Linked DNA regions of Elephas maximus indicus. The protein of the gene in region 2 interacts with the protein of the main gene of each other region in a biochemical or structural test. Links are inferred from orthologs where the notes say so. Each region holds a gene or a part of one and is shown on either strand. Other genes may lie near its edges.

What was found.
Region 1: of the proteins of RNF185 (region 2) and CGAS, one has a biochemical effect on the other in vitro, tested with the Homo sapiens proteins (2 studies listed by BioGRID). The link is inferred for Elephas maximus indicus from reciprocal best matches to the Homo sapiens genes RNF185 and CGAS.

What each region holds. Positions count from the first base shown.
Region 1 is NC_064819.1:136,748,101-136,763,494, forward strand, and holds the start of CGAS (cyclic GMP-AMP synthase), read right to left. Parts: upstream 6,170-15,394; 5' UTR 6,037-6,169; coding exon 5,386-6,036; intron 803-5,385; coding exon 583-802; intron 1-582. UniProt on the Homo sapiens protein: Nucleotidyltransferase that catalyzes the formation of cyclic GMP-AMP (2',3'-cGAMP) from ATP and GTP and plays a key role in innate immunity.
Region 2 is NC_064840.1:25,065,636-25,081,362, forward strand, and holds the start of RNF185 (E3 ubiquitin-protein ligase RNF185), read right to left. Parts: upstream 6,749-15,727; 5' UTR 6,578-6,748; intron 1-6,577. UniProt on the Homo sapiens protein: E3 ubiquitin-protein ligase that regulates selective mitochondrial autophagy by mediating 'Lys-63'-linked polyubiquitination of BNIP1.

The DNA.
Region 1 (15,394 bases), on a different chromosome or scaffold from region 2:
ACTGGACACTTCGGACATCTTTAACTTCCACCTCATAGGAATCAGCTTTGTGCTGATCCTTCTAAAAAAGATTATTTATTCAGGCCCCTGGCCACCTCTTCAACTTCAACTCAAGTCGCTTTCTCCTTGTTCACATGGGCCTCTTCTGTTTCTTGAACTTGCCAAGCTATTTTGCACCTCAGAGCCTTGTACTCTTGTCCTCCCCACCCCAATCAATATCACTTCTCCCATTTCATTAACTTCATACCACTCACTACAATATGTATTATATATTATTTACACATTATTTCTTCTAGTAGATCACAAGCTTCAAGAGGGGAGCCCCCTTGTTTTATTCAACCATATATACCCAGTGGCACAGGCAGCAGTTCAATGAATATTCAATGAAGACTGAAATACAGTCAACCAACATTTAGGAAGAGTACCAAGAAAATGTGGTGGACAGAAACCAAGAGTTGTTTCTGGAAGGAGTTAGAGGTCAACAGTTTGCTGCAGGGAGGTCAAGAAAGATCAGGAGACAACAGTACATTGGCAGTAGTAGGTATGATTAGAATTTGAAAAACTGAATGTCAAAAATCTTACCTTTAATGTTTTTGATTTCTTCCTTAATAATTGTCCTAAACTTTGCCAGTACTTTAGAAGCAGATAATACTTCCTTTTCTAAAAACTGATTCAGAGGATTTCCGTTGGGATTTCTTCTGAACTTCACAAAGTAAAAAGCACCACTATCGCCATATTCTTCTAGCTGAATTCTGTAGCCGTCCAGTTTAAACATGATATCAAATTCATTAGGAGCAGATATCTATGAAATAGTAAAAAGAGAACTGAAATGCTTACTTGTGAATATTTTCCAAGGGGCTGCAATTAATTTCTTCTTGAAATTTCTACTTAAAAGTCTACTCTTAAAAACAGAATTCCAAACATTTATACCCTCTGGAAATGGGATTAGAGGAGCTGGGAACAGGTGGAAGAGTTTTACTGGTTTTTTTTTTTATAATTACAACTAATTATAAATGATATCATGTAAGCTTAAAGTCTATCTCAGTTTTATTTCTGAGTTTAAATTTTAGTAAAACTAAAGACCTTTATGATGTTTTCTTTTATATCAAAAGATACTACAGTCACCCTCCTGTAGCCATGGTCTCAAAAATATGTGTAGTCACTTCCTAGCCAGGTGACCAAGAGCCATCTTGTTACAGCTGTTGGCCGCCCAAGCGAGTGTCACCAACAAACCATTCACTACATTAGTGTCTTTGAAGCACAGCATTTTTAAGAGCATCAAATGATCTTATTTTTCACCTCATAATAATAATTACAGCAATTTTAATAAATGTTTATTTTTCCTAAAAAAATGTCAAGAGCCTTTCATTAGGAGTATGCTTTAAGTATAGCTCTTTGACTGCACTGTTCAATACCGTAGCTAGTAGCCATATATGTCTAGTGAACACATGAAATATGGCTAGTTTGAGTTGAGATGTACTGAAAGTAAAACACACACTGGGAATGATGTCAATGAGAATGATGGAGTAAGAACCTCCAAAAGCTTGCTCCTTCATAAAAGCAGTAAGAACACAGGACAAACTCAACTTTTTCAGAACTCTGAATTAACCAAAGGCTTGCAACAATCCAAGGAGCTCTGAACTCTGTAAATTAACCAAAGACTTGCAAAAATCTGAGGAGTGTCTATTCAAGAAAAATGGTCAAACCTCAGTAACAACAGTGAGCTTTGTGGTGTTCTAAATTGCCCTATTTCCACACTCAGCACCTTAAAGGCTTCCTCATTCCCACTTCCTGTCAGTAACCCTCCACCAAAGCTAGCCAGTATTTTGACTTCTAATAACAGAAAGTTTGCCTGTTTGGGAACTTCATATAAACAAAATCATATAGTATGTACTCTTTTACATCAGAGTTTTTTCATTCAAATTATGTGCGAATCATCAATATTGTTCTGCACATTGGCAGTTCTTTATCATTCTATGTAGTATTCCACTGAATTAATGGAATATATCAAAATATACTTACCAACTCTGTTGATGGATATTTCGGTTGTTTACAGTTTTGTTTTTTTTTTTAATTTATTTATTGATGTTGAGAATACACCCAGCGAAATGTTTATGGTTTTTAACTACTACAATTAATGCTGTCCTGGGCATTCTTGCATATGCCTTTTGGTGGACATGACCACTCATTTCTACTGTGTATATATACCCAAGAGTGGAACTGTTGGACTATAGGGTAGGTGTATCTTTAACTTTAGAAAAAACTGCCGACTTTCTAAAGAGGTAGTACCTATTTATCTTCCTACCACCAATGTAAGGGAGTTTCAGTTGCTCCGTATCTTCTCCAACACTTGAAACTGTCAAGTCTATTTTATTTTTAGCCATTCTAATAGATGTGTGGTAGAATCTCATCATAATTTTAATTTGCATTTTCCTGATATTAATGACGCTGAGCACCTCTCATATGTTTATTGCTATCTGGATGACATACTAAATATCTGATCAAGTCTTTTGCCCATTTTTAGTTTGTCTTTCTGTTATTGATTTGTAGTTCTTTATATATTCTGAGTATGAGTCCTTTTTCAAATATATATATATTGCAAACATCTTCTCCTAGTCTATGGTTTGCATTTTTACTCTCTCAATGGCATCTTTTGATGAACAGCAGCTCTTAATTTTAATAAAGTCTAATTTACCTATTTTTTCTTTTATGGTTAGCATTTGTAGTGTCCTGTTTAAGAAATATTTGCACATTCCAAGGTTATGAAGTTATTATCCTATGCCTTCTTTTAGAAGCATTATTGTTTTATCTCTTACCTTTAGGCCTATGACACATCTCAAATGATTTTTTGTGTATGATGTGAGGTAGGGGTCAAGGTGCATGTTTTTCTCATGGGGATATACAACTGCTCCAATATCATTTATTTAAAAGACCACCTCTCCCCATCGAATTACATATATTGCATATGTTGTGTACTGTATTGACTTATATGCGTTGGTGGGTCTGTGTCTGGATATTTTATTCTATTGGCCTATTTGTCTATCATTGCACCAATACCACGTGCTTAATCAGGATTTATAGTAAGTCTTGGTATCTGGTAGGGTAAATTCTCCAACATTGTTCTCCTTTAGAACTGCCTTGACTATTCTGGGTGCTTGCGTTTCCATATAAGTGTTATAACCAGCTGGTCAGCTTAAATAAAAAACTGGTGGATTTTGACTGAGATTACATTGAATCTGTAAATCAATTTGGGGAAAACTAAGCACTGTTTGGCTTTCCATTTACTTAGTACTTCTTCAAATTTACTCAGTAATACTTGGAAGTTTTGAACATCTTTAACAAAACTTATTCCTAATCATTTGATGTTTTGATGTTATTGTAAATTATATTTTTTATCATTTTAAACCTGTTTTTGCTATTATATTGAAATACTTTTGATTTTTGTGTATCGACTTTGTATCTAGCAACCTTGCTAAATTCACTAATTATTTCTAATAGTTTGTACAAAAGCCCAATCAAGTCATCTGTGCATAGCAATTTTATTTCTTCTTTTCCAATTTCATGCATTTTATTTATTTTTCTTGCCTTATTTCATTGGCTATATGTATTCTTTAGCTTTATTCAACATTACGTTTGTAAGATTCATTCATGTTGCTGCACATTGCTATAGTTTGTTACTTTTCTTGACTGGTTAATGTGTCATTGCATAATTAATTGATTTCTATGTAATGTTTTCATTCAGTCCAAACTATATAAATAATAAAGTATATTAACAACCAAGACAGTAAGAACTAAAAATAAAAAAAAAAAAAAGAACTATACAGACTGGCAATTCTACAGGGGGTGTTTACAAAAAATTTACGAGATATTTTCCAGATTTGTATCCAGGAATTGATAATATTACAATATATGAATGCTGATATACAGTCAGGTAAATAAATCACTAAGGAGTATATATTGTCTGTCCTTTCAGAGCCTGGAATCCAAGTTTGAAATCAAGTTTATGTATATATACATAATGGAAGAAAATACAGCAAAATGATAACACTGAATAAAATAAATATTATTTTTCTTCTATATGCTTTTCTGACTTTTCCAAGGTTATCAACACAAAGAGGTGAATATGGAAGAGGCTGAGGAGAAGGTTGAGAAAGGGAATCTTAAGACAGACCACCCATCCCTTCTTCTTCAGCCTATTCATTCATTCATTAGCTTGAGGGCTTGCTATGTGTTAAGACTAAGAGATACAGAGATGCATATATTTAGCCTGCTCTCTTAAGAGTTTATAATGCTAAAACCCTAAATCTTGAGTATTACAATCATCCTCCTTCCAGAAAGAAGTAGGTAGTTGAATAAAGCCAACATTTAACTCTAAAGATATGATTAGTTTAATGAGGAAACCCTGGTGGTGTAGCGGTTAAGTGCTATGGCTGCTAACCCAAGGGTCGACAGTTCGAATCCACCAGGCGCTCCCTGGAGGCTCCATGGTGCAGTTAGTTCTACCCTGTCCTATAGGGTCGCTATGAGTCGGAATTGACTTGACGGCACTGGGTTTGGTTTTCTGGTTTTACTTTAATAAAGATATGTTATCAGCCTCTATTTGTGTTCATGCTTCACCCAAGATCTTACATAAAGCTAAAGAAGGTGCATAGCCCAGCACTCAGAAAGCTGACAGACAAAAACACAATCAAATAAATTTGCCACTGATCAGGAAATAAACTCAAGTCAGGAAACTGCTCCAAACAGTCAATTTATACTGGAAATATTATTTTAATGACTCAATCGCCCACAAACAAATGGAGCTCTGGAAAATAGATTTAAAAGCAATTATATTGGTGTGTATTTAGGAAGTATGCTTTTTAATACCTACAGAATTTCATTTAATTTTTTCTAACATCACTGTGAATTTCCCATATCTGTATAGAAATGGGAAGGGGTGGCAAGGGGTAACTGAAGACATTTGTCCTATAAAGTACGGATGTCCCCCTCGTAGGAAAAAGTCTCTTAGATACATAAATTTTGTGGAGTTCCTCGCAAATCACTCTCAATCATCGTTAGAGTTTAACAACACCTAGTATTGCTAGAGAAATTCAATACATCTCAGCTTACATGAATGAATCTATACATTTGAAATCCCTCATAGCAGTGTCTGGAGAGTGGCTGGCAATCAATATCGGTTAGTCGGATCACCGTTAGATGAACAGACGAATAAGTGAACGAACAAGTGTTTGTCGACTTAATTAGAACTCTGCACAAGCCACCACGGAACAGGAGTCTAAGTTACTTCCGAAGGGAGGTGAGGGACCGCGACCCGAGGGAGAGAAGGAAGTCGGAGAGGCTGGAAAGGGGGCCGAGGAAGCCCAGCCGGCGCGCTGGGCAGCTCACCTTCACGCGCTCATAGTAGCTCCCAGTGCGCAACTGGGAGATGCCTTTGAACGCTGATTCACAGCTCTGCAGTCTCCGCAGCAGGCAATCCACGACCCCGTTCACGATCTCAGCCGCCGAGGTGATCTCCTGACGTCTCAACTTCAACTTTTCCAGCACTGCCCGAAGCTTAATATAGGCACCGTCCGCCGACTCTCTTCGGCCGAGGTTCGGGGCCGGGACCAGCGATCGCGGGATCCGCAACTCCTTAGGCCCGGGCGCGGACCTCTGCTCTCTAGCGGATTCCGCGTCCTCTTCGCAGCGAGATCCCCCCCCGGGAACCGGCGCCCTCAGAGGCGCGGAAGGCCTCTCTCCCTCCAAACAGACGCAGGTGGCGGCGCCCAAGGGCTCCGTGTCCCCGGCGCAAAGGGGCGCCTTTTTGGAGCGGGCCCCCTGCGGCCTCTCCTGGGGGCCCGGGGCGCTCTTCCTCCTCAGGGACTCCGACTTCCCAGCCCGGCCGCACCTTTCTCTGGAGGACTGCGCGGCCCCGGAGGCAGGCGAAGATTTGTCTGACTTCTCCAGGGCGCCTCCTGCACTCGGCGCTGAGCCTTTAGGGGCCGCGGCTTCGACCTTTTTAGGTGTCCGCGTTGCCTTTCCCTGCCGAGGGTCCATGCCGTGGGCTCTCTGCTCCTCGAAAGGTAACTTGACTTCGGATAAACGCCCTCAGAAGGAGACAGCAGAAATGGAGTAAGAAATGAAACTTAAGAATGACGGTAACTGAGCGGGAAAGCGTCCGCCGCCTGGAGGCCAGCACGCATTGGAGGGGAACTCGACGCTGGGCGGTCACAGGAAGCTACGCCCCCGCCGCCTGGGGCAGGCCACCGCGTGCTGGAGAGTGGGTATATTCTCACCCTCAGTGGGAACGGTGCCACTGGTTTGGGTACAGTACTTAACGCAAGGAGAGGAAGGCAGAAAACACTGTACAATTTCTTGAGGGCTTTGGTCGCCAAACTTACTTGCTGGAGTACCACCTAGACGAATTTTGGAAAACAAGGTACCTTCTCTCCAGGGCATTGAACCGGTTCTGCCCAGTTCGATCAAAGTCAAGGAGCAGACCCGAGGTTTTAAAATTTGGGTGAACCGAAACAATAACCAAAATGGGAAAAATTACTTGTTGAAGCCTTGCTGGAAACCTAATCTCTTTCTTAGAAAAATAAGAGCAATATCCCATTGCATGGCAACCAAATCTCTTGCCCTTAGGATTTTGAGCAGAGCTCAGAAAACGGTACCCCATCAAGGCGGCAGCTAACCTTGCCGCTTTGTGTATCACTCTGCACAGTCCTAGCAATAATCAACCTCCCGTATGAGGCGCCTGCAAGGGCTCACTATGCCTCTTCCAAGTCTCCCATTCCAGGGCTTCCACTGGTAATTTTTTCATTCCGGTTATTCTGGTTCCGGTTTCGCTTCACTGGCCTTGACTGAACGTGTATTGGACAGCTCCATAGTATTGTATTAAAAATTCTATTTTCTTTACTTGGCTTCCTCTCCCCCAACTTTGCATTTGAATTCTGCTTTTATGTAAACCCCATTGCGCCTGCTTTCCTTTTACAACGAAATAAAGGTGCCTTTCCTGTTCTCCCACCTCGTTCTCTCACTTATTGGCTAGTAGAAGTCATGCCGAGCAGAACCTGGGGTTTCGTCCAGTAACAAATTGGAACCAGTGTGAAGCCCTGCAAGTAGACAAACTTTTGAAGTAGACAAGCTTTTTTAGGCTTTTGGGGTATATCCATAAACAAAGATCCCTTCTCTCCTGGAGCTTACGTTCTGGTAAGCTGGAAGAACATTGTCGGTAGAAACAGACAGTAGACAATAAATATATTACATAGGTAAGTTATCTTATATGGTAGACGATGATAAGCACTATTGAAAAAGGAAAAAATATGGGTCGGCAACCAATGTCACAAAACAATTTAGGTATGAACAGTTTAATAAGAAACCAATTTGCTCTGTCAACTTTCACCTAAATCACAATTTAAAAAAGAAGAAAAAGGAAAAAGTAGTGCAAAGTGGATTGGGAATGAGAGGTGGTGCACTACTGAAATACTGAGAAAGTTACTGTCTTAGTTACCTGGTGCTGCTGTAACACAAATACCACAAGTGGACGGCTTTAACAAAGAGAAATTTATTCTCCCCAGTCTAGGAGGCTAGAAATCCAAATTTAGGGGTGCCAGTTCCAGGGGAAGTCTTTCTCTCTCTGTTGGCTCTGGGGGAAGGTCCTTGTCATCAATCTTCCCGGGTCGAGAAGCTTCTCCCCGCAGGGACCGCTGGTCCAAAGGACCACTATTCTCCTGGCTCTTGTTTCTTGGTGGTATGAGGTCCCCCTGTCTCTCTGCTCACTTCTCTTTTATATCTCAACAACTGACTCAAGTAACAATCTTGTAATGAGTCCTGCCTCATTAAAGTAACTGCCTCTAATCCTTCCTCATTAACATCATAGAGATAGGATTGACCATACGCTGGAAAATCACATCGGATGTCAAAATGGTGAACAATCACACAATACTGGGAATCATAACTTAGCCAAGTTTACACACATTTTGGGGGGACACAATTCAATCCATACCAGTGACATTTGAGCAGATTTAAAGGAGGGGATTCCTAGGGAAATAGCGTTCCAAACAGAAAGAGAAGCTAACAAAATGACCTAAGGTGAGATCATGCCCAGTCGTTGAAACAACATCAAGTGTGGCTGGAGCACGTTAACTATGAGATGTATCATTGTCTCTTAGCTCCGAATGCACCTTTCAATAGATGCTGTACAATAAACAACAGAATGCCTTTAAGCATTTCTCCTTTAAAGCAAGCACAATGTTAAGCTTTCTCAGTAGAGATTGCTGGAGGGACACTGGAGGATGAAGAAGATTCCCGAGATTTCCAGTGGGGGGTGCGGAGTGGACAAAGCATGGGTGAGGGGAAAAAAAGTTAGCCTTTTGTGGGTGTGACAGCATTGGGTGGAGTTTGTTTGTGTCAGAGGCACAGAAAGTGATCCCTCCGCAACCTTGCAGCCTTGGTCTGGCAATAACCCATCCACAGCACTCTCAGCTCAAAAACTAAACTACTGCATGCCCTGCACACAGCCACCTGTGGTCCACAGGGTCACACATGGAGGTGCTTCTCCCTCTGAAAGTCACTAAGTGCTCCCTGAAAGCCTTCTGCAGACACCCACTGGTTAACAGATACCCCCTGCTTGCTCTCCACCCTCCACTGTGGCAGTTTGCCTGTTGTTTGCTTAGCAACTCCAGACTAGCTCCAGTCTGGCTAAACCAGCAAACTTCTCTGTTATCTGATAGCCAATGTATAACCTCCTATGAAGTCTGAACTTCTTCCAAGTTTGTCCTTCCTTGGGTACTCTCCCTCAGCCCTAAGTTACCACATAAAGTTTCCTTATATCTTGTACTCTTTTATTATAGTTAATAATTCTTATATTAAACTCCCCCAATTTAACCTATTGTGTGATTTCTATCTCCTGATTGAACCCAGGTTGCTACATGGTTCATAACAAGAATGGTCCCAAGATTGCCCTAAAATAGTCTTTAAACCTTAAACCAAATGTTTCCACTGAAGTCTTCTTAAAACCAAACAATAATTTAGCTTAACTAGTAAGAAATAAGAAATGTCTGCCTCGAGCATTATGCTCTTTTAAGAACATTATGCTCTTTTACGTCCCAACCAAACAATAGAGAAGCCCATAAGTTAAACAATAACACCCCAGAGGAATGTACTTCTTGGAAAAATTAATTACAGGAAATCAAAGGGCAATATCTACCTGCCTGTCTTAGTCTTCTAGTGCTGTTATAACAGAAATACCACAAGTGGCTGGCTTTAACAAATGGAATTTTGTTCTCTCACTGTTTAGGAGGCTAGAAGTCTGGGGGAAGGTCCTTGTCATTAATCTTCTGGTCTAGGAGCTTCTCAGCGCAGGGACTCCAGGTCCAAAGGAGGTGCTGTGCTCCCAGTGCTTCTTTTTTGGGGGTATGAGGTCCCCCTTCTGCTCACTTCTCTCTTTTATATCTCAAAAGAGATCAACTCATGTAACAACCTAATCTTGTAGCTTGAGTCCTGCCCCAATATAACTGCCTCTAAGTCTGCCTCACGAATATCATAAAAGTAGGATTTACAACACGTAGGAAAATCACATCAGATGACAAAATGGTGGACAATCACACAATACTGGGAATCATGGCTTAGCCAAATTGATACACATTTTGGGGGGACACAATTCAATCCATGTTGCTGTTGTTCAGTGCCGTCAAGTTGGTTCCGATTCAATCCATAACACTGACCAAAAACAAATATGAGAAGGCAGGAAGGGGTAGAAAATCAGGACTAAAGGAAATGGGGAACCAAGGGTGCAAATGGGGAGAGTGCTGACCCATTGTGGGGAGTGAAACCACAGTCATGACATGCTTTTTGTACAAACTATCAAATAGGAAACTAATTTGCTCTGTAAAACTTTCACCTAATGCACAATTTAGGAAAAAAAAAAAAGGAACTATCTATTTGGGATCAACTTGACAACAGCAACTTGAAAGATTAGATAGGAAATTTAGGGGGCAGTGAATCTATGTTAATGGAGAAGGAACAACTCAGAAAAGGAAAGTGAGTATGGTTGCAGAACTTGAAGAACGTGATCAATGTCACTGAATTGTACATGTAAAAAAACATGTAGAAACTGTTAAATTGGTGTATGTTTTGCTGTGTATATTCTCAACAATGACAATAAAATAAATAAAATTTAAAAAGAAAAAAAAAGTCCCAGAAGACTCATAAAGACAGAATTTTGAGATTGATTTGGTCGTGCCGTTGGGCTTGAGCACAGTGCTCAAGGAGGAAAAACAAGCAAAGTAGACTGAGAAAGAACAGCCAGAAATACAGGAGGAAAACTCGTGTAGTTTGATGTTTGGAAGTAGGGGCAAATTAACCAGTGAGCAAGGTGTCTTAGTTATCTAGTGCTGCTATAACAGAAATACCACAAGTGGATGGCTTTAATAAACAGAAATTTATTCTCTCTCAATCTAGTAGGCTGTAAGTCCAAATTCAGGGTGCCAGCTCCAGGGGAAGGCTTTCTCTCTTTGTAGGTTCTGGAGGAAGGTCCTTGTCATCAATCTTCTCCTGGACTAGGAGCTTCTCAGCAAAGGAACTGCTTTCTTGGTGGTTGAGGTCCCCGAACTCTCTGCTCACTTCTCGTTCCTTTTATCTCTTGTAAGATAAAAGGTGATGCAGGCCACACCTCAGGGAAACTCCCTTTGCATTGGATCAAGGATATGACTTGAGTAAGGTTGTTACATCCCACCCTAATCCTTTTTAACATAACCCAATCTTGCCTCATTAACCACAGGCAGAGGTTAGGGTTTACAAAACATAGGAAAATTACATCAATTATGAAATGGAAGTCAACCACACAATACTGGGAATCATGCCCTAACCAAGCTGACACATATTTTGGGGGGACACAATTCAATCTATAATACAAGGTAAGCACAGGCTTACTTGGGCTTACTAATCTATAGTGAAAATTTCACATACGAAAAAAATGTGAAATTGTTCATTACAGATTAGTAGGTAAGAACAAGTGTGGATCGTAAAAAATTATGGATAACATTGTGGAGAATGGGAATTCCGGAACACTTAATTGTGCTCATAAGGAATCTGTACATAGATCAAGAGGCAGTCATTTGAACAGATCAAGGGGATACTACATGGTTTAAAGTCAGGAAAGGTGTATGTCAGGGTTGTATCCTTTCACCATACCTATTCAATCTGTAGCTGAGCAAATAATCCTAGAAGCTGGACTGTATGAAGAAGAATGGGGCATCAGGATTGGAGCAAGAATCATTAAGAAGCTGCGTTATGCAGATGACCAACCTTGCTTGCTGAAAATGAAGAGGACTTGAAGCACTTACAGATGAAGATCAAAGACCACAGCCTTCAGTATGGACTGCACCTCAGCATAAAGAAAAAAAAATCCTCACAACTGGACAAATAAGCAACATTATGATAAATGGAGAAAAGGCTGACTTTGTCAAGGATTTCATTTTACTTGGATCCACAATCAACACCCATAGAAGCAGCAGTAGAGAAATCAAACGATGCATTGCATTGGGCAAATCAGCTGCAAGAGATCTCTTTAAAGTATTAAAAAGCAAAAGATGTCACCTTGAGGACGAAGGTGCACCTGACCCAAGCCATGGTGTATTCAATTGCCTCATATGCATGCGAAAGCTGGACAATGAATAAGGAAGACCAAAGAAGGACTGGCACCTTTGAATTGTGGTGTTGGTGAAGAATAATGAATATACCATGGACTGCCAAAAGAACGAACAAATCTGTCTTGGAGGAAGTATAACCAGAATGCTCCTTGGAAGCAAGGATGGCAAGACTGCATCTCACATACTTGGACATGTTGTCAGGAGGGATCAGTCCCTGGAGAAGGACATCGTGCTTGGTAAAGTAGAGGGTCAGCGAAAAAGAGGAAGACCCTCAATGAGGTGGATTGACACAGTGGCTGCAACAATGGGCTCAAGCATAGCAACAACTGTGAGGATGGCACAGGACTGGGCAGTGTTTCACTCTGTTGTACATAGGGTCACTACGAGTTGGAACTGACTCAATGGCACCTAACAACAACAACACACTCATCAAAAGACTTCACCAAAAGAGTAAAAAGAGAACCTACAGACCGGGAAAAAATTTTTGACTATTACAAATCAGACAAAAGTCTAATCTCTAAAATCTACACGAAAATCCAACACTCTACAACAAAAAGACAAATAATCCAATTAAAATATGGGCAAAGGAAATGGACACTTCATCAAAGAAGATATTCAAGCGGCCAACAGACACATGAGGAAATGCTCGTGATCACTAGCCATTAGAGAAATGCAAATTAAACCACAATGAGATACAATCTCACCCTAGCACTACTGACACGAATCAAAAAAACAGGAAATAAGAAATATCGAGAGGCTACGGGAAGATCAGAACTCTTAGGCACTGCTGGAAGAATGCAAAATGATACAACCATTTTGGAAAATGGTATGGCGCTTCCTTAGAAAGCTAGAAATAGAAATACCATTTGATCCAGCAATCCTACTCCTAGGAATATATCCTAGAGAAATAAGAGTCATCACACAAATAGACATATACACACCCATGTTCACTGCAGCATTGTTCACAATAGCAAAAAGAGAGAACCTATGCCCATTAACAGATGAATGGATAAGCAAATTATGGAGTATTACACAACAGTAAGGAACAATGATGAATCTGTGAAGCATCTCATAATCTGGATGAATCTGGAGGGCCTTATGCTGAGTGAAATAAGTCAATCACAAAAGGACAAATATTGTACGAGACCACTACTATAAAAACTTATGAAAAGGTTTACACACAAAAAGAAACAATCTTTGATGGTTACAAGAGAGGGGAGGAAAGGGAGTGGAAAAACACTAAATATACAACAGGTAAGTGGTAACTTTGGTAAAGGGTAAGACAGTACACAATACTGGGGAAGCCAGAACAACTCATAAAAGGCAAGGTCACGGAAGCTCCACAGACACATTCAAACTCCCTGAGGGACCAAATTGCTGGGCTGAGGGCTGTGGGGACCATGGTCTCAGGGAACATCTAGCTCAATTGGCATAACATAGTTTATAAAGAAAATGTTCTACATTCTACTTTGGCGAGTAGCATCTGGGGTCTTAAAAGCCTATGAGTTGCCATCTAAGATACTCCACTGGCCTCATCCCTTCGGGAGCAAGGGTGAATGAAGAAAACTAAAGATAAAAAAAAAAAATACAAGGGAAAAATTAGTCCAAAGGACTAATAGGCCACATCTACCATGGCCTCCACCAGATTGAGTACGGTACAACTAGATGGTGCCCAGCTACCACTACTGCCTGCTCTGACAGGGATCACAATAGAGGGTCCTGGACGCAGCCGGAGAAAAATGTAGATCAAAATTCTAACTCAAAAAAAAAAAAAAAAAAAAGACCAGATTTACTGGCCTGACAGAGACTGGAGAAACATCGAGGGTATGACCCCCGGACAACCTTTTAGCTCAGTAATGATGTCACTCCTGAGGTTTACACTTTGGCCAAAGACAAAATGAGACTAAAGGGGTACACCAGCCCACGGCAAGGACTAGAAGGCAGGAGAGAAGAGGAAAGCTGGTAATAGGGAACCCAGTGTCGAGAAGGGAGAGTGCTAACATGCCGTGGGGCTGTTAACCAATGTCTTAAACCTTTGCTCTGTAACCCTGCATCTAAAGTACAATTGAAAAAAAAGAAAGAAATGGGTGTGAAGCCCATTAGCAGATGAATGGATAAACAAATTATGGTACATATACAAAATGCAATACTACGCCAACAATAAAGAACAATGATGAATCTGCGAAATATCTCACAACATGGATGAATCTGGAGGGCATTATGCTGAGTGAAATAAGTCAACACTAAAGGACAAATGTTGCATGAAACCACTGTTACAAAAATTCAAGAGAAGATTTATACACAGAAAAAAACAATCTTTGATGGTATCTTAACAGAAATACCACAAGTGAATGGTTTTAACAAAGAGAAATTTATTCTATCATAGTCTGGTAGGCTAGAAGTCCAAATTCAGAGTGTCAGCTCCGGGGGAAGGCTTTCTCTCTGCTGGCTCTGGAGGAAGATCCTTGTCATCAATCTTCCCCGGATCTGGGAGCTTCTCAGGCTCAGGGACTCCTGGTCCAAAGGATGTGCTCTGTTCCCGGTGCTACTTTCTTGCTAGTATGAGGTCCCCAACTCTCTGTTCATTTCCCTTTTCTTTCATCTCTTGTAAGACAAAAGATGATGCAGGCCCCACCCCATTGGATCCTTACCTGAGTAAGGATGTTACATCCCATCCTAATCCTCTTTAACATAATCTAATCTTGCTTCATTAATCACAGAGATTAGGATTTACAAAACACAGGAAAATTACATGAATCATAAAATAGAGGACGACCACACAATACTGGGAATCATGATCTAACCAAATTGACACATATTTTGGGGGGACACAATTTAATCTATGACAGATGTTACGAGGGAAGGGAGGGGTGAGGAAAGGAAATCACTAACTAGGTAGTAGACACATCCAAACACCTTGAGAGACCAAGTTACTGGGGCTGAAGGCTGGGGACCATGGTCTCTGGGGACATTTAGGTCAACTGGTATAACATAGCTCATAACGAAAATGTTCTACATCTTCGTTGAGTAGCCTCTGGGGCCTTAAAAGCTCGCAAGCAGCCATCTAAAATACATCTAGTGGTCCCACAATGTTCAGAGAAAAGGAGAATGAAGAAAACCAAAGACACAAGGAAAGTAACAGTCCAAAGGACTAATGGATCAGAAGAACCACAGCCTCCGCCAGCCTGAGCCCAGAACTAGATGGTGCATAAAAATAGCCAACTACGGCTCTGACAGGGATCACAATAGTGGGTCCCAGACAGAGCGGGAGAAAAATGTAGAACAAAATTCAAATTCAAAAAAAAGACCAGACTGAATGGTCTGACAGAGTCTTGAGGGACTCCCGAGACTATGGCCCCTGGACACGCTGCTAACTCAGAGCTGAAGCCACTCCAGAAGTCCACCCTTCAGCCAAAGATTAGACAGGCGTATAAAACAAACAGTAACACATTTGAGAAATGTGTTTCTCAGTTCAATCAAGTATAGGAGACCTAATGCGCAGCACCTGCCCAAAAGCAAAGACCAGAAGGCAGGAAGGGGTAGGAAAACCTGATGAATGGACATGGGGAACCCAGGGAATAAAGGAAAGGGGGAGAGTGCTGATACATTGTGAGGATTGCAACCAATGTCACAAAACAGTTTGTGCATAAATTTTTGAATAAGAAACTAATTTGTGCTCTAAACTGTCACCTAAAATGAAATTAAAAAAAAAAAAATCAAAAAGCTATTTAAAAAAAAAGGGTGTGAAGCAGAAATGCATT
Region 2 (15,727 bases):
ATTTCACAGTAAGGTAGGCTAAAACTCCAAATTCAGGGTGTAAGCTCCAGGGGAAAGTTTTCCCTCTCTGTTGGCCTTCTCGTCAGTCTTCCCCTGGACTAGGAGCTTCTCCATGCAGGGACCCCAGATCCAAAGGACATGCTCTGCTCTTGCTTTCTTGGTGGTATGAGGACCCCGGTCTCTCTGCTCGCTTCTCTTTTACATCTCAACAGATTGCCTGAAGACACAATCCAATCTTGTAGATTGAGTACTGCCCCACTAACACAACTGCCGCCCATCCTCCCTCAATATTATAAAGACAGAGTTTACAACATATAGGAAAATCACACAATACTGGTCACACATTTTTTAGGGGACATAATTCAATCTATAACAGGTGGTGATGGTTCCACAACCTTGTGAATATACTAAGGACCAACGAATTATAAACCATAAAACGGTGAATTTTACTACGTATGAATTAAATCTCAATTAAAAAAAAATTGAAAGAAACTATAAAACAACTGGCCAGTCCTTTTCAAAAGTGTTAATCATGGAAGACAAAAAAAAAAAAAAAAAAAAAAAACCAAGGAACTGTCCCAAGTTGGAACAGACTAAGGAGACTTGACAACTAAATGTGATATGGGATCTTGGATTTGGTGCTGGAACAGAAAAAGGATGTAAGTGGGACAAGTGGTAAAATTAGAATTGTTGTTGTTAGGTGTCAACTTGGTTAGGCCATGATTCTCATATTATGTAATTATTCTCCATTTTGTGATCTGATGTAATTATCCTCCACTTCATGATCTGGTATAATTATCCTCCATTTTGTGACAAAATGTAATCGCATCCATAATGTGATCACCCAGTTATAAGCGGAGTTTCCCTGGGGGTGTGGCCTGCACCCTACATATATATATGGACATTCTGGCAAAGCTCTTGCTTGCTCTGGATACTTTTCCTGGCTTGTTATCATCTGATCTCTGGTTCTTGGGGCTTAAACCTGCAACCTGTCACCTGATCTGCTGACTTTGGAATTTGTCAGCTCAGCAGCCCTGTGAGCCACCAGCCTGCAGTCTGACCTGCTGAATCTAGGTTTGTCAACCCCTGCAGCTACATGAGTCAGAAGAAGCCTCCAGCCAACCTCTGACCCACAGACTTTGGGACTTGTCAGCCTCCACAACAGCATGAGCATTCCCTGAGATCTCTCTCTCTCTACATATATATATGTATATATGTATGTATGTATGTATACATACTTCCACTGGTTTTGCTTCTCTAGAGAATCCAGCTTAAGACAGGTGCCGTCGAGTCGGTTCCAACTCATAGTGACCCTATGTACAACGGAACGAAACAATGTCTGTCCTGCGTCATCCTCACAATTATTGTTATGCTTGAGCCCACTGCGGCAGCCACTATGTCGATCCATCTCATTGAGGGTCTTCCTCTGTTCCACTGACCTTCTACTTTACCAAGCATGATGTCCTTCTCCAAGGACTGGTCCCTCTTCAATAACATGTACAAAGCAAGTTAAGACGAAGTCTTGCATTCCTCGCTTCTAAGGAGCATTCTGGCTGTACTTCTTCCAACATACACTTGTTCATTTTTCTGGCAGTCCATGGTACGTTCAATATTCTTTGCCAACATCATAACTGAAAGGCATCAATTCCTCTTTGGTCGTCCTTACTCATGGTCCACCTCTTGCATGCATATGAGGCAATTGAAAATACCATGGCTTGGATCAGGCACACCTTAGTCCTCAAAGTGACATCTTTGCTTTTCAATACTTTAGACAGATCATTTGCAGCAGATGTGTCCAATGCAATACAACATTTGATTTCTTGGCTGCTGTTTCCACGGGGGTTGATTGTGGATCCAAGTAAAATGAAATCCTTGACAACTTCAATATTGTCTCTGCTTATCATGATGTTGCTTACTAGTCCAGTTGTGAGGATTTTTCTTTTCTTTACGTTGAGGGGTAATCCACATTGAATGCCGTAGTCTTTGATCTTCATCAATAAGTGCTTCAAGTCCTCTTCGCTTTCAGCGAGAAAGGTTGTGTCACCTGCATATTGCAGGCTGTTAATGAATCTTCCTCCAGTGTTGATGCTGTGTTCTTCATCTCGTCCAGCTTTTCGGATTACTTGCTCAGCATACCGACTGAATAAATATGGTGAAAGGATACGCCCTGAGACACACCTTTCCTGATATTAAAACACGAAGTATCCCCTTGTTCTGTTTGAACAACTGCCTCTTGGTCTATGCACAGGTTCCGCATGAGTACAATTAAGTGTCCTGGAATTCCCATTCTATGCGATGTTACCCATAATCTGTTATGATCCACAGAGTCAAATGCTTTGCACAGTCAATAAAACACAGGTAAACATCTTTCTGGTGCACTCGGCTTTCACCCAAGATTCACTTGACATCAGCAATGATATCCCTCGTTCCACATCCTCTTCTGAATCCAGCTTGAATTTTTCGCAGTTCCCTGTCAATGTACTGCTGCAACTGTTTTTGAATGATCTTCAGCAAAATTTTACTTGCGCATGATAGTAATGATATTCTTTGACAATTTCCATGTTCTGCTGGATCACTAATCTCTTCCAGTCGGTTGGCCAGGTAGCTGTCTTCCAAATTTCTTGGCATAGTTGAGTGAACACTTCCAGTGCTGTGTTTGTTTGCTGAAACATCTCAATTGGTACTCCGTCAATTCCTAAAGCCTTGTTTTTCGCCAATGTCTTCAGTGCAGCTTGAATTTCTTCCTTCAATACCATCGATTGTTGGCCATATGCTACCTCCTGAAATGGTTGAATGTTGACCACATCTTTTTGGTATAGTGACTCTGTATATTCCTTCCATCTTCTTTCAGTGGACCCTGCATCATTCAATATTTTGCCCATAACCAAAACCATAGAATCCCTCAATATTGTAACTTGAGGTTTGAATTTTTTTTCTTTCTTTCAGCTGGAGAAATGCTGAGTGTATTCTTCCCTTTCAATTTTCTAGCTCCAGGTCTTTACACATTTCATTATACTTTGTCTTCCCAACCCACCCTTTGAAATCTTCTGTTCAGCTCTTTTATTTCATCATTTCCTCCATTCTTTTTAGCTACTGTATGTTCAAGAGCAGGTTTCAGAGTCTCTTCTGATATCCATTTTGGTCTTTTCTTTCTTTTTAATGACCTTTTGTTTTCTTCATGTATCATGTTCTTGGCATCATCTCACAGCTCGTCTGGTCTTCAATCTCGTGTTCAATGTGTCAAATCTACTCTTAAGATGGTCTCCAAATTCAGTGGGATATAGTCAAGGTCATACTTTGGCTCTCGTGGACTTGTTTTAAGTTTCTTCAGCTTCAACTGAACTTGCATATGAGCAACTGATGTCTGTTCTGCAGTCAGCCCCTGGCCTTGTTCTGACTGATGATATTGAGCTTCTCCATCAGCTCTTTCCACAGATGTAGTTGATTTGATTCCCACGTATTCCATCTGGTGAGGTCCACAGGTATAGTCAGCATTTATGCTGTTGAAAAAAGGTATTTTCAATGAACAGGTTGTTGATCTTGCAAAATTCTACCATGCAATCTCCGGTGTCGTTTCTATCACCAAGGCCATATTTTCCAACTGCTGATTCTTCTTCGTTTCCAACCACAAGTAATTATCAACGCATCTTGACTGCATGTTTGATCAATTTCAGACTGCAGAAGTTGGTATAATAAAAAAAATAAACTTCAGTCTCTTCATCTTTGGCATTACTGGCTGATGCGTAAATTTGAACAATCATCGTATTAACTGGTCTTTCTTATAGGCACATGGATATTATCCTTTCACTGATAGCACTGTACTTCGGAATAGAAAAAATTAGAATAAGGTCTATAAATTAGCTAGGAGTGTACTGATGTCAATTTCCTTGTTTAAATAATTTTATTATGGTTATGTAGGAAGCTGGGTAAAGGGTATACAAAAAATTTGTGTATTATTTTTGCAACTTTTTTTAAATCTAAAATTATTTCAAAATAAAGACTTTAAAAAAATTGTACCTGATACAGGTCAGCAGTCATCAATTTTTTTTCTGGAAATGGCCATATAGAAAATACTTTAAACTTTGTGGGCTGTATGGTCTTTGTGACCACTGCTCAACTCTGCTGTTGTAGCATTAAAGAAATCAAAGGCAATATATAAATGAATGGGAGGGGCTGTGTTCCAGGAAAACTTTTATTTATGGACACTGATACCTCATTTTCCTATAATTTTCACATATCATGAAATATTATTCTTCTTTTGATTTATTCCCCACCATTTAAAAATGTAAAAACCATTTTTAGCTCACAGGCCATGCAAAAACAGTGGGGTCACATTTGTCCCACAGGCTGTAGTTTGCATACCGCTGGTCTAGGTGAGAACTGGCTAATGTGTGCTTCATTTAAAAAGCAAGAGTGTTTTACTCAAATAAGTTTGACAGTATTAAACAAGGTTAAACACATTTCTTTATTGCAAAACTTCTCAGTGCCTTTAATATGGTACTATAAACTGAGAAATTTCAAGAAGGGATAATAGTACGTAGCTTTTCCCGAACTTATATTTACCACAGAACCACCTTTTCAGCAGCATATCTTCAGATTAGTGACCTGAAGAGCACACTCATGAAAATGTTAATTTAGGTACTTCTTTAAAAAGGAAACCTTTAGATTAAGAAGTTTTAAACACTTATCTCCCAACCACCAAATTAAGATCATTTCACCTGGCACCTGGATAGTATCTGAACAAGCATTTCACAACTGTTTTTAAACATGGGAAACACACACAAACAAGCAGATAAACACAGGCAGGAAGTCTTGGCTCAACTCCGACCTTTTCTTTTTTTGCATGTCAGCAGAATTGAGTCGTAACATGGATTCTCGGCTCCATAGGGCAACTTATGCATTCTTAACCACTCTAACAGACTTTTAAAAAGTGAACTACTCTGAATTCTGCAGATCACAAAATAAGGAACTCTGGTGTCCGATTAGAAAACTAAAGTTATATCAGAAGTACTATCTGCAGATTACACACTAGCGACGATGAACTGGCCGGTTAAGTCCGTAAGAGGACAGGTTTCATATGCTGGATGAAAAGTTAGCCAATAGACTGCAAAAACTCTCTGTCTGCACAACATCTATACAACACACACTGCTGGTGAGAGGATTAAGGAAGGATTTATGTCTGAGGGAGGAGAAGGCTGGCCTGCACAATCTCAAAGTGTCCTTCCAACTGAGACTTCTCCACTCTGTAACCCAAAGAGTTCACTGGCTTTACCTGATCAAACACAAAATCTTAAGGGGGCACTTCCAAGGTGTCCTAAGAAAATAAACTATTAAACGATGGAGATGGGGAACTGCTTAGTTATTTGTTCAACAAACATTTAAGGAACCCCTATGAGATGTTGAGCCATTCCAAAGTCCCTGAAAAGAGGGATGGTGCAAAGAATAAGCAGGCATAGATTACATAAGGCCAGACCCACTGGCTTTACTCCCAGGGTTGGGGGTCATCCAAGAAAAAGAGGCAGAAAAAAGAAGTCACATGTACTTTGAGGGTAGAGTCAGCACCAGAAAGGGTCAAAATAACTACTTAGAATCAGAGACTTTCAAGGTGGAAAAAACATCCACCTAATGCCTACACACCTCCTGAACAGGGAGTCACTACCTCTTGAGGCAATCTATTCCATTGCTGCTCACCTCTGATGGTTCTTCCATTAAGTGCTTCTATTAAGTCAAAATCTTCTCTTCCTGATACTAGTTCTGCCTCCTTCAGTCCCAAAGAAGTGGAAGCCCTCCTTGACATAAAACCTTTTGCTTTTTAACGACACTTCCTCCCTTCCAGTGCACTCTTTGCTGGGCTAACCATTACAATTCTTTCAAGATCCTGAACAGGCTCTAGCTGCCTCAAAGCGAAGAATGAATCCTTGTACTCCCAGCAAGAAAGCACCTAATATTAGTGGGTTTCAAACATGAGTACGTATAGGATTCCCACGACTCTTATCCAGATTCTAAACCAGAGGTTTTATGTGAGGCCCAGGAATCTGCATTTTAAAACACGCATCCCGGGGGATTTTGAAGCAGATGGTGTGAGAATCATATTTTGACGAGTAGTACCCCGTTTTACAAATGAGAAAGCCGAGGCCCAGCACAGGAAGGAGATTTGGCCCAGAACACACAACTGACTGTAGGTGGCGAAGTCTCCAACACAGGTCTCTGACTCCCAGTCCAACTCTGTTCACCACGTTTCCTAGCCTCGGCCTCTATACTAGGGCAAACGCGTTAAAAGCAACCCCACGGTGAGACAGGAGGTCCCGTGCGGGGGTGGAAGGGCGCGAAGGGAGTTAGGGTCAGTCCCTGTCTGGAAGGGAGCGCTGGAGGGAGTCTCTCCCCTTCTTCGGGACGGAAAATCAAGACGCTAGCCCCATTTCCTTCCGAGGCAGAAGGCCCAGGGCATGGCCGTGCTTGTTGCCTCCGAGTTCCGGGTCTCAGGTGCCACAGCCCGTGGGCCCCAGGAAGGCAGAACCCGGTCCCACGTCCCCGGCTCCCAGCCTCGCCAGGCCCGCCACCCCAGACCCTCACGTACCTGCCTCCGCGCACCTAACGCCGCCTAGGCCACTCCACCCTGTCGGCCTGTCGGCTGACCTGCCAGTCAACCGGCCAAGGAGTCCGTGTGGCAAGACCTTCGACCCCACCTACGCGAACTCTAGTCACCTGACTCGGAGCCGCCCCTCTTAAGGACTTCCGGCCGCGACCGGAAAAGGTTGGTCCGCTGCGCCGTTCTCGGGTCTAGGACCCGGATCTAAGGTTCCGCCTGCGGACGGGAAGCGGTTAGCTTTTCGAAGCGCTAGAGTAGGGGTTCTTTGAAGAAGAGACTGATAACCAGAGCTAGGGCAAGGAAAGTGTGGAATGAGCTTGTTCCATCAGAATTTAAGGAGGTGTTCTTAGAATAATAGGCATATGTCAAAGGACACAAGCAAACTCGAAGAGGATCCCACTGGCCAAATTGGGACAATTTTAGCATCAAAATACATAATGATAGTAATGGAATATAGCTAATTGAACAAAATAGTAATTCATGAGTCTTTGCTGACATAAAGAAGTGAATAAATAAATAAATGGAGAAGACGGTAAAACTCTATAGTAGAATGCCAACTAATAAACATGATAGAGAACCAACAAATATCCTAAAGGAATAGGTTATTTAGACTGTAAAAGTGTCTCCCATAAATTACTTATTAACTACAAAAGGAAAGTATTAGTTTTACAGAGGTGTAACCTAGTGGGAAGAAACCCGGGTGGCGTAGTGATTAAGAGTTTGGCTGCTAATCAAAAGGTCGGCAGTTTCAATCCACCAGGTGCTCCCTGGAAACACTATGGGGCAATTCTACTCTGTCCTGTAGGGTTGCTATGAGTCGGAATGGACTCCACGACAACGGTTTTGGTTTTTGGTTGACACAGTGGAACAAATGATCAAAGTAATGGACGTTAAGATTACCAGGAGTTCAAGTAGAGATCACGTGCCTCTGAAAACAATGCACTGAGAAGGACAGAACATCTCTTCTGCCAAAAATGTCTAACTTGAACCTTAAGAGGAAGCATTAGATAAACGCACATTGAGGGAGATTCTACAAAATAAGTAACATGTACTCTTCAAAAATGTCAGTGTCATTACAGACAGAGAAAGGCTGTGAAACTGTTCCAGTTTAAAGAGACTAAAAACAAACGACAACTAAATGTGATGTGTAATTCTAAATTGGACCCTGGACTGGGGGTGGGGGCAGGGGATAGCTTTAACGGACCACACTGGAACAGGTGATGAGATTTTAATATGGATTATGGGTTAGCTATTAATATGTATTTTTTCAACGTTAAATTTTCGGAACTTGATCACTGTACTGTAGTTATGTTAAGAGAATGTCCTTAGGAAATACTCACGGAAGTATTCAGGAGTAAATAGACACAGTTTCTCCAACTTAATTTCAAATGATTTAGAAAAAATGCATATATGTAAAAATAGAGAATGATTAAGAAAATGAGACAAAACAAACTTTTGGTGAATCTAGGTAAAGCTTGTATGGGAGTTCCTTATATAGTTTTTGCAACTTTTCTGTAAGTTTGAAATGATACAAAAATTAAAATTTACAAAAAAATGTGGGGGGAGGTGGCTGGGTCCTTGCCAATTCATTTATTTATCTATTAAACTTTGATTATTGCTTTCCACATGCCAGTTCCTGTGCCAGGCACTGGCGATGCAGTGAGAGACAGGATAATGTGCTTTTATGCCTAGTGGAAAAGATGTTAAACTAACTTGTAATCACACAAGTAATGGACCAGAACAAAACATTGCACAGTTCTGCGCCATCCTCACGTTCATCGTTATGTTTGAGCCCCTTGTTGAAGCTAATGTGTCAATCCATCTCGTTGAGAGTATTCCTCTTTTTTGCTGACCCTCTGCCTTACCAAGAATGACGTCCTTCTCCAGGGACTGATCCCTCCTGATACAGTCTATCATTCTTCACTTCTAAGGAGCATTCTGGCTGTACTTCTTACAAGACAGATTTGTTCATTCTTCTGGCAGCCCATGGTATGTTCAGTATTCTTTGCCAACACCGTAAACCAAAGGCATCAATTCTTCTTCTTTATTCCTATTCATTGTCCAATTTTCACATGCATATGAGGTGATTGGAAATACCACGGCTTGGGTCAGCCACACTTTAGTCCTCAAAGTGACATTTTTTGCTTTTCAACACTTTAGAGAGGTCTTTTACAGCAGATTTGCCCAGTGCAATGCGTCTTTTGATTTCTCAACTGCTGCTTCCATGGGTGTTGATTGTGGATCCGAGTAAAATGAAATCCTTGACAACTTTGATATTTTCTCTGTTTGTCATGATGTTGCTTACTTGTCCAGTTGTCAAGACTTTTATTTTCTTTATGTTGAGGTATAATTCATACTGAAGGCTGTAGTCTTTGATCTTCATCAGTAAGTACTTCAAGTCCTCTGCTTTCAGCAAGCAAGGTTGTATCATCTGCATATTGCAAGTTGTTAATGAGTCTTCCTCCCGTGTTAATGCTGTGTACTTCTTCATCTAGTCCAGCTTTTCCAATGATTTGCTCAGTATACAGATTGAATAAGTATGGTGAAAGGATACACCCTGAGACACACCTTTCTTGATTTTAAAACACGAAGTATCCCCTTGTTCTGTTTGAACAACTGCCTCTTGGTCTATGTACAAGTTCCACATGAGTACAATTAACTGTCCTGGAATTTCCAATCCTTGCAATATTATCCATAATTTGTTATGATCCACACGGTTGAATGCCTTTACATAGTCAATAAAACACAGGTAAACATCTTCCTGGTATTCTCTGCTTTCAGCCAAGATCCTCCTGACATCAGCAATGATATCCCTCATTCCATGTCCTCTTTTGAATCCAGCTTGAATTTCTGGCAGTTCCCTGTTAATGTACTGCTGTAACCATTTTTTAATGATCTTCAGCAAAATTTTCCTTGTGTGTGATATTAATGATATTCTTTGACACTCTCCACATTCTGTTGGATCACTTTTCTTTGGAATGGGCACAAATATGGATCTCTTCTAGCTGGTTGGCTAGGTAGCTGTCTTCCATATTTCCTGGATAGAAGAGTGAGCATCTCTAGCACTGCATTTGTTTGCTGAAACATCTCACTTCATAGTCCATTAATTCCCGGAGCCTTGTTTTTCACCAGTGCTTTCAGTGCAGCTTTGACTTCTTCCTTCAATACCATTGTTTCTTGATCACATGCTGCCTCCTGAAATGGTTAAATGTCAACCAAAGCTTTTTGGTACAGTGACTCTGTGTATTCCTCCATCTGCTCTTGATGCCTTCTGCAGCATTCAATATTTTCCCCATTGTCTTGGACATTTAATGATGCAAAAGAGAAATACCACAAGTGGATGGCTTCAAAAAAGATAAATTTATTCTCTTGCAGTCTAGTAGGCTAGAAGTTCAAATTCAGGGTATCGGCTCCAGAGGAAGGCTTTCTCTTCTTGGCTCTGGAGGAAGGCTCTTGTCATCAATCTTCCCCAGACTAGGAGCTTCTCCATGCAGGAACCCCAGGTCCAAAGGATGCACTCTGTTCCTGGCACTGCTTTCTTGGTGGTATGAGGTCCCTGTGTCTCTCTGCTCGTTTTTCTCTTTGATATTTCAAAAGAGATTGGCTTAAGATACTATGTAATCATGTAGCTCTCATCAGTATAGCTGGCACTAATCCATCTCATTACATCACAGTGATAGGAATTTACAACACATAGGGAAATCACAGCAGATGACAATAGACAATTATATGATACTGGGAATCATGACCTAGCCAAGCTGACAGATATTTTGGGGGGACACAATTCAATCCATGACACCCATAAAAACAAACCTGTTGCCACCGGGTTGATTCCGACTCATAGCAACCTGAAAGGACAGAGTAGGCCTGCCCTATAGGGTTTCCAAGGAGTGGCTGGTGGTTCCGCCTGCTGACCTTTTGGTTAGCAGACAAGCTCTTCAAAATTGGAACTTCAGTTTTGAATTTTTTCTTCAGCTCTTTCAGCTTGAGAAATGCTGAGCATGTTCTTCCCTTTCGCTTTTTTAACTTCAGGTCTTTGCACATGTCAATATAATACTTTATCTTCTCAAGCTGCCCTTTGAAATATTCTGTTCAGCTTTTTTACTTCATCATTTTTTTCCATTCCCTTTAACTACTCTACATCCAAGAGCAAGTTTCAGAGTCTCTCCTGATATCCATTTTGGTCTTTTCTTTCTTCCCTGTCTTTTTAATGACCTTTTGCTTTCATCATGTATGATGTACTTGATGTCATCCTATAGCTTGTCTGGTCTTTGGTCATTAGTGTTCAACACGTCGAATCTGTTCTTGAAATGGTCTCCAAATTCAGGTGGGATATACTTAAAGTTGCATTTTGGCTTTTGCAGACTTGTTTTAATTTTCTTCAGCTTCAACTTGAACTTGCATATGAGCAACTGATGGTCTGTTCTGAAGTCAGCCTGTGGCCTTGTTATGACTGATGATACTAAGCTTTTCCATGGTCTCTTTCCGCAGATATGGTTGATTTGGTTCCTGTGTTTTCCATCCAGTGAGATCCACATGTATAGTCACTGTTTATGTTGTTGAAAAAGGTATCTGCAATGAATGTCTGTCAGTATGTAGTTCTGTGGTGGCTTGCGTGTTGCTGTGATGCTGGAAGCTATGCCACCAATATTTCAAATACCAGCAGTCACCCATGGTGGATAGGTTTTAGCAGAGCTTCCAGACTAAGGCTGTGAAGAAGGACCTGGCAGTCTACTTCTGAAAAAATTGGCCAATGAAAACCTTATGAACAGCAGCAGAACATTGTTTGATATAGTGCCGGACGATGAGCGCCTCAGCTTGGAAGACACTCAAAATACGACTGGGGAAGAACTGCCTCCTCAAAGTAGTGTCGACCTTAATGATGTTGCAGTAAAGCTTTCAAGACCTTCATTTGCTGATGTGGCATAACTCAAAATGAGAAGAAACAGCTGCAAATATCCATTAATAACCACAACGTGGAATGTACAATGTATGAATCTGGGAAAATTGGAAGTCGTCAAAGATGAAATGGTATGCATAAAGACCTATATGGTAGGCATTGTTGTTGTTGTTGTTGTGTGCCATCGAGTCGATTCCAACTAATAGTAACCCTATAGGACAGAGTAAAACTGCACAATAGGGTTTCCAAGGAGTGGAAAGGTGGATTTGAACTGCCTACCTTTGATTAGTGACCTGAGCTCTTAACCACTTCGCCACCATGGCTCCATAAAAAATATGGAATGCTCCACAAATTTGGGTGTCATCCTAGGCATTAGTGAGCTGAAATTGACTGATACTGGCCATTTTGAATCAGAAAATCATATGGTCTACTATGCCAGGAGTCACAAATTGCAGAGGAATGGTGCCACATTCATTGTCAACAAGAACATTTCAAGATCCATTCTGAAGTACAATGCTGTCAGTGATAGGATGATATCCATAAATCTACAAGGAAGACCAGTTAATAAGACTGTTATTCATATTTACACACCAACCACTAATGCCATAGATGGGTGTCATGGATTGAATTGTGTCCCCCCAAAATATGTGTCAACTTGGTTAAGCCATGATTCCCAGTATTATGTGGCTGTCCTCCATTTTGTGATTGAAATTTTCCTGTGTTTTGTAAATTCTAATATCTGTCTGTGGTTAATGAGGCAAGATTAGAATACATTAAAGAGGATGAGGGTGGGATTGTAACATCCTTACTAAGGCCACATCCCTGATCCAATGTAAAGGGAGTTTCCCTGGGCTATGGCCTGCACCACCTTTTATCACTCAAGAGATAAAAGGAAGGGAAGTGAGCAGAGAGTTGGAGATTTTATACCATCAAGAAAACAGTGCCAGGAGCAGAGTATGTCCTTTGGACCTGGGGTTCCTGCATGGAGAAGCTCCTAGTCCTGGGAAAGATTAATGAGAGGGACCTTCCTCCAGAGCTGACAGAGAGAGCTAGTCCTGGAGCTGATGCCCTGAATTTGGACTTCCATCCTACTAGACTGTGAGAAAATAAATTTCTCTTCGTTAAAGACATCCACTTGTGGTACTTCTGTTATAGCAGCACTAGGCAAGGAAGACAATGAGGAAATTGAAGATTTTTACCATCTTCTGCAGTCTGAAGTTGACCAAACATGCAGTCAGGATGCATTGATAATTACTGGTGATTGGAATGCGAAAGTTGGAAACAAAGAAAAGGGATCGGTAGTTGGAAAATATGGGCTTGGTGATAGAAATGACACTGGAGATCGCGTTATAGAATTTTGCAAGACCAATGACATTCATTGCAAATACCTTTTTTTTTTTGAGTAATAGACTACTTATCTTAAAAAATAATGATAGCAATTAACTTGCTATGTAAACTTTCACCTAAATCATAATAAAAATAAATAATGACAGTTATCATTTGTTCAGCATAACTAGGTTTACAGTGTTTCATTTGGTCCTTACAGTCACCCTATGAATGGCTTTGGTGATTATCTCCATTTTACAGATGGGTAAAGGAAAATTTAAAGCTTGCACAATTTTATCATTCAATAAAAAGTTTTTTTTTAAATAATACTTTATTGTGTTTTCAGTGAAGCTTTACATAGCAGTTTATGTTCTCATTCAACAATTTCCACCCAAATTGTTCAGTGACATTGGTTACATTCTTCACAGTGCATTACCATTATTATTTCTGTTCTGTTCCCATTAATCTAGTTTACCTGTCCCCTTCTCATCTTTGTTTTAAAGTAATTGTTGACCATTTGGTCTCATATAGATGATTTTTTAAAGGCGCACAGTACTCACAGGTGATATTCTTTATTTTGTTAGACCATCTGTTACTTAGCTAAAAGGTGACCTCAGGGCCTAATTTCCATTCAAGGTTTAAAGAGTATCTCAGGCCAATAGTCTCAGGGAGTCCTTCAGTCTCAACTGGTCCAGTAAATCTGGATTTTTTTAGAATATGAGGTTTGGCTCCACATTTTTCTCCCATTCTATCAGGATCTATCTGTTGTAGCCCTGATCAGAATAGTCAGTAGTGGTAGCTGGACGCCATTTGTTCTGGACTCAGGGCAAATGAGGCCATGCTTTGTGTAGACTATTAGTTCTGTAACCAGTTCTTTGAGTCTGTTGTTTCCTTCTTTCTCTTCTGTTCTGGACGAGTAGAGACCAAGAGTTGTAACTTAGATGGCTGCTCGCAAGCTTTTAAAACCCCAGACGCCACTTACCAAAGTAGGATGTAGAACATAAACTTTATGAGGTATATTATGCTAATTGTTCCATGAGACTATGGTCCTAAGCCTTCAAACCCAGAACACAAATCCTACAATGTGTTTGGTTATGTCTAGGAAGTATCTGTAACTATGCTCTTGTGTGCTTTTTTATATATATATGAATACATATGCATGCACACATATATATGTATATATGTATGCATAAACCTATACACACACATATCTACCCACATATATATATATACCTATGCACATACATGCCTACATACATACCCCAACATATATTTTTTGGTTGTTGTTGCAAAATTATACATGCCATAGCAATTACCAAAAGATGCTTTTTTCTTATGTACATCTTGGTGACATCATTTACCTTGGTCATGCAGTGCACACTTCACCCTCATTCGGTGTCACCTTTCCCATCACCAAAAATAACAAGTGTTTACTGTCTAGAGAGTGAATTCCCCCCACCACCATCCATCTCTGGTAATCACTAAAGGACATTCCAAAAACCAAACCAAACCCATTGCCGTTGAGTCGATTTTGACTCATAGTGACCCTATAGGGCAGAGTAGAACTGCCCCATACAATTTCCAAGGAGCAGCTGGTAGATCTGAGCTCTTCACCATTGTGCCACTAGGGCTCCTAATGGACACTAGTTTCTGTATGTATTTACCTTTTCATGTGATTTCATAAAAGTAGGAACATAAATACTTGGTTTTGTTTTTTGAGATTGACTTATTTCACTCAATGTAATATCCCCCATTCAGAAACTCATATTTTTTTTATTGCTGAGTGGTAGTCCATTATATGTATGTAGCACATCCCATTCATCCATTGAGGGACACTTAGGTTGTTTCCATCTTTTTGCTATTGTGAATAGGGCTGCATGTATCTGTTCATGTCACTTCTATTAGATCCCTAGGGCATATACCTAGGAGTGGAATTGCTGGGTATGGCAGCTCTACCTCTAGTTTTTTGAGAAACTGCCAGACTGTTTTCCACAATGACTGTACCATTTTGCATTCCCACCAGCAGTGGATGAGGGTTCCAATTTCTCTACATCCCTTCCAACACCTGTTACTATTATTTTTTTAATCTTGGCCAATCTAGTGGGAGTGAAGTGGTATCTCATTGTGGTTTTGATTTGCATTTTTCTGATGGTCAATGTCATTGAGCATCTTTTCATGTGTCTACTGGCCATTTGAATACCCTCTTTTGTGAAATGTCTTTTCATGTTCTTTGCCCAGTTTTTGATTGAGCTATTTGTCTTTTTATAGTTTAAATTGTACAAGTTTTCTATATATTTTAGGTATTAGACCCCTATCAGTTATATCATCCCTATGAAGCCACTATTTTGTTTTCTGTTGCTCGTGCATTATTGCTGTGTTTGATAATCTATCACTGAAAAAACTAGGTCTCAAAGCTTTGCTCCTATATTTTCTTCCAAGAACTTTATGGGTCTTTTTTTTTTTTTTCCTAAATTTTATTTATTTTGTTGTTGTTGAGAACATATACAGCAAAACATACACCGATAGTTTCTACATGTACAATTTAATGACATTGATTACATTCTTCGAGTTGTGCAACCATTCTCACCCTCCTCTTCTGAGTTGTTCCTCCCTCATCAACATAAGGAAACTCTGGTGGTGTAGTGGTTAAGAGCTATGGCTGCTAACCAAGAGGTTAGCAGTTTGAATCCACCAGGCGCTCCTTGGAAACTCTATTGGGGCAGTTCTACTCTGACCTATAGGGTTGCTATGAACTCGACGGCAGTGGGTTTGATTGCCCTCCCCATCAACAAAAATTAATTCTTCACCCCCCACCCCCATCTTGGTTATCTAGTGCTGCTATAACAGAAATACCACAAGTGGATGGCTTTGGCAAAGAGAAATTTATTTCCTCACAGTAAAGTAGGCTAGAA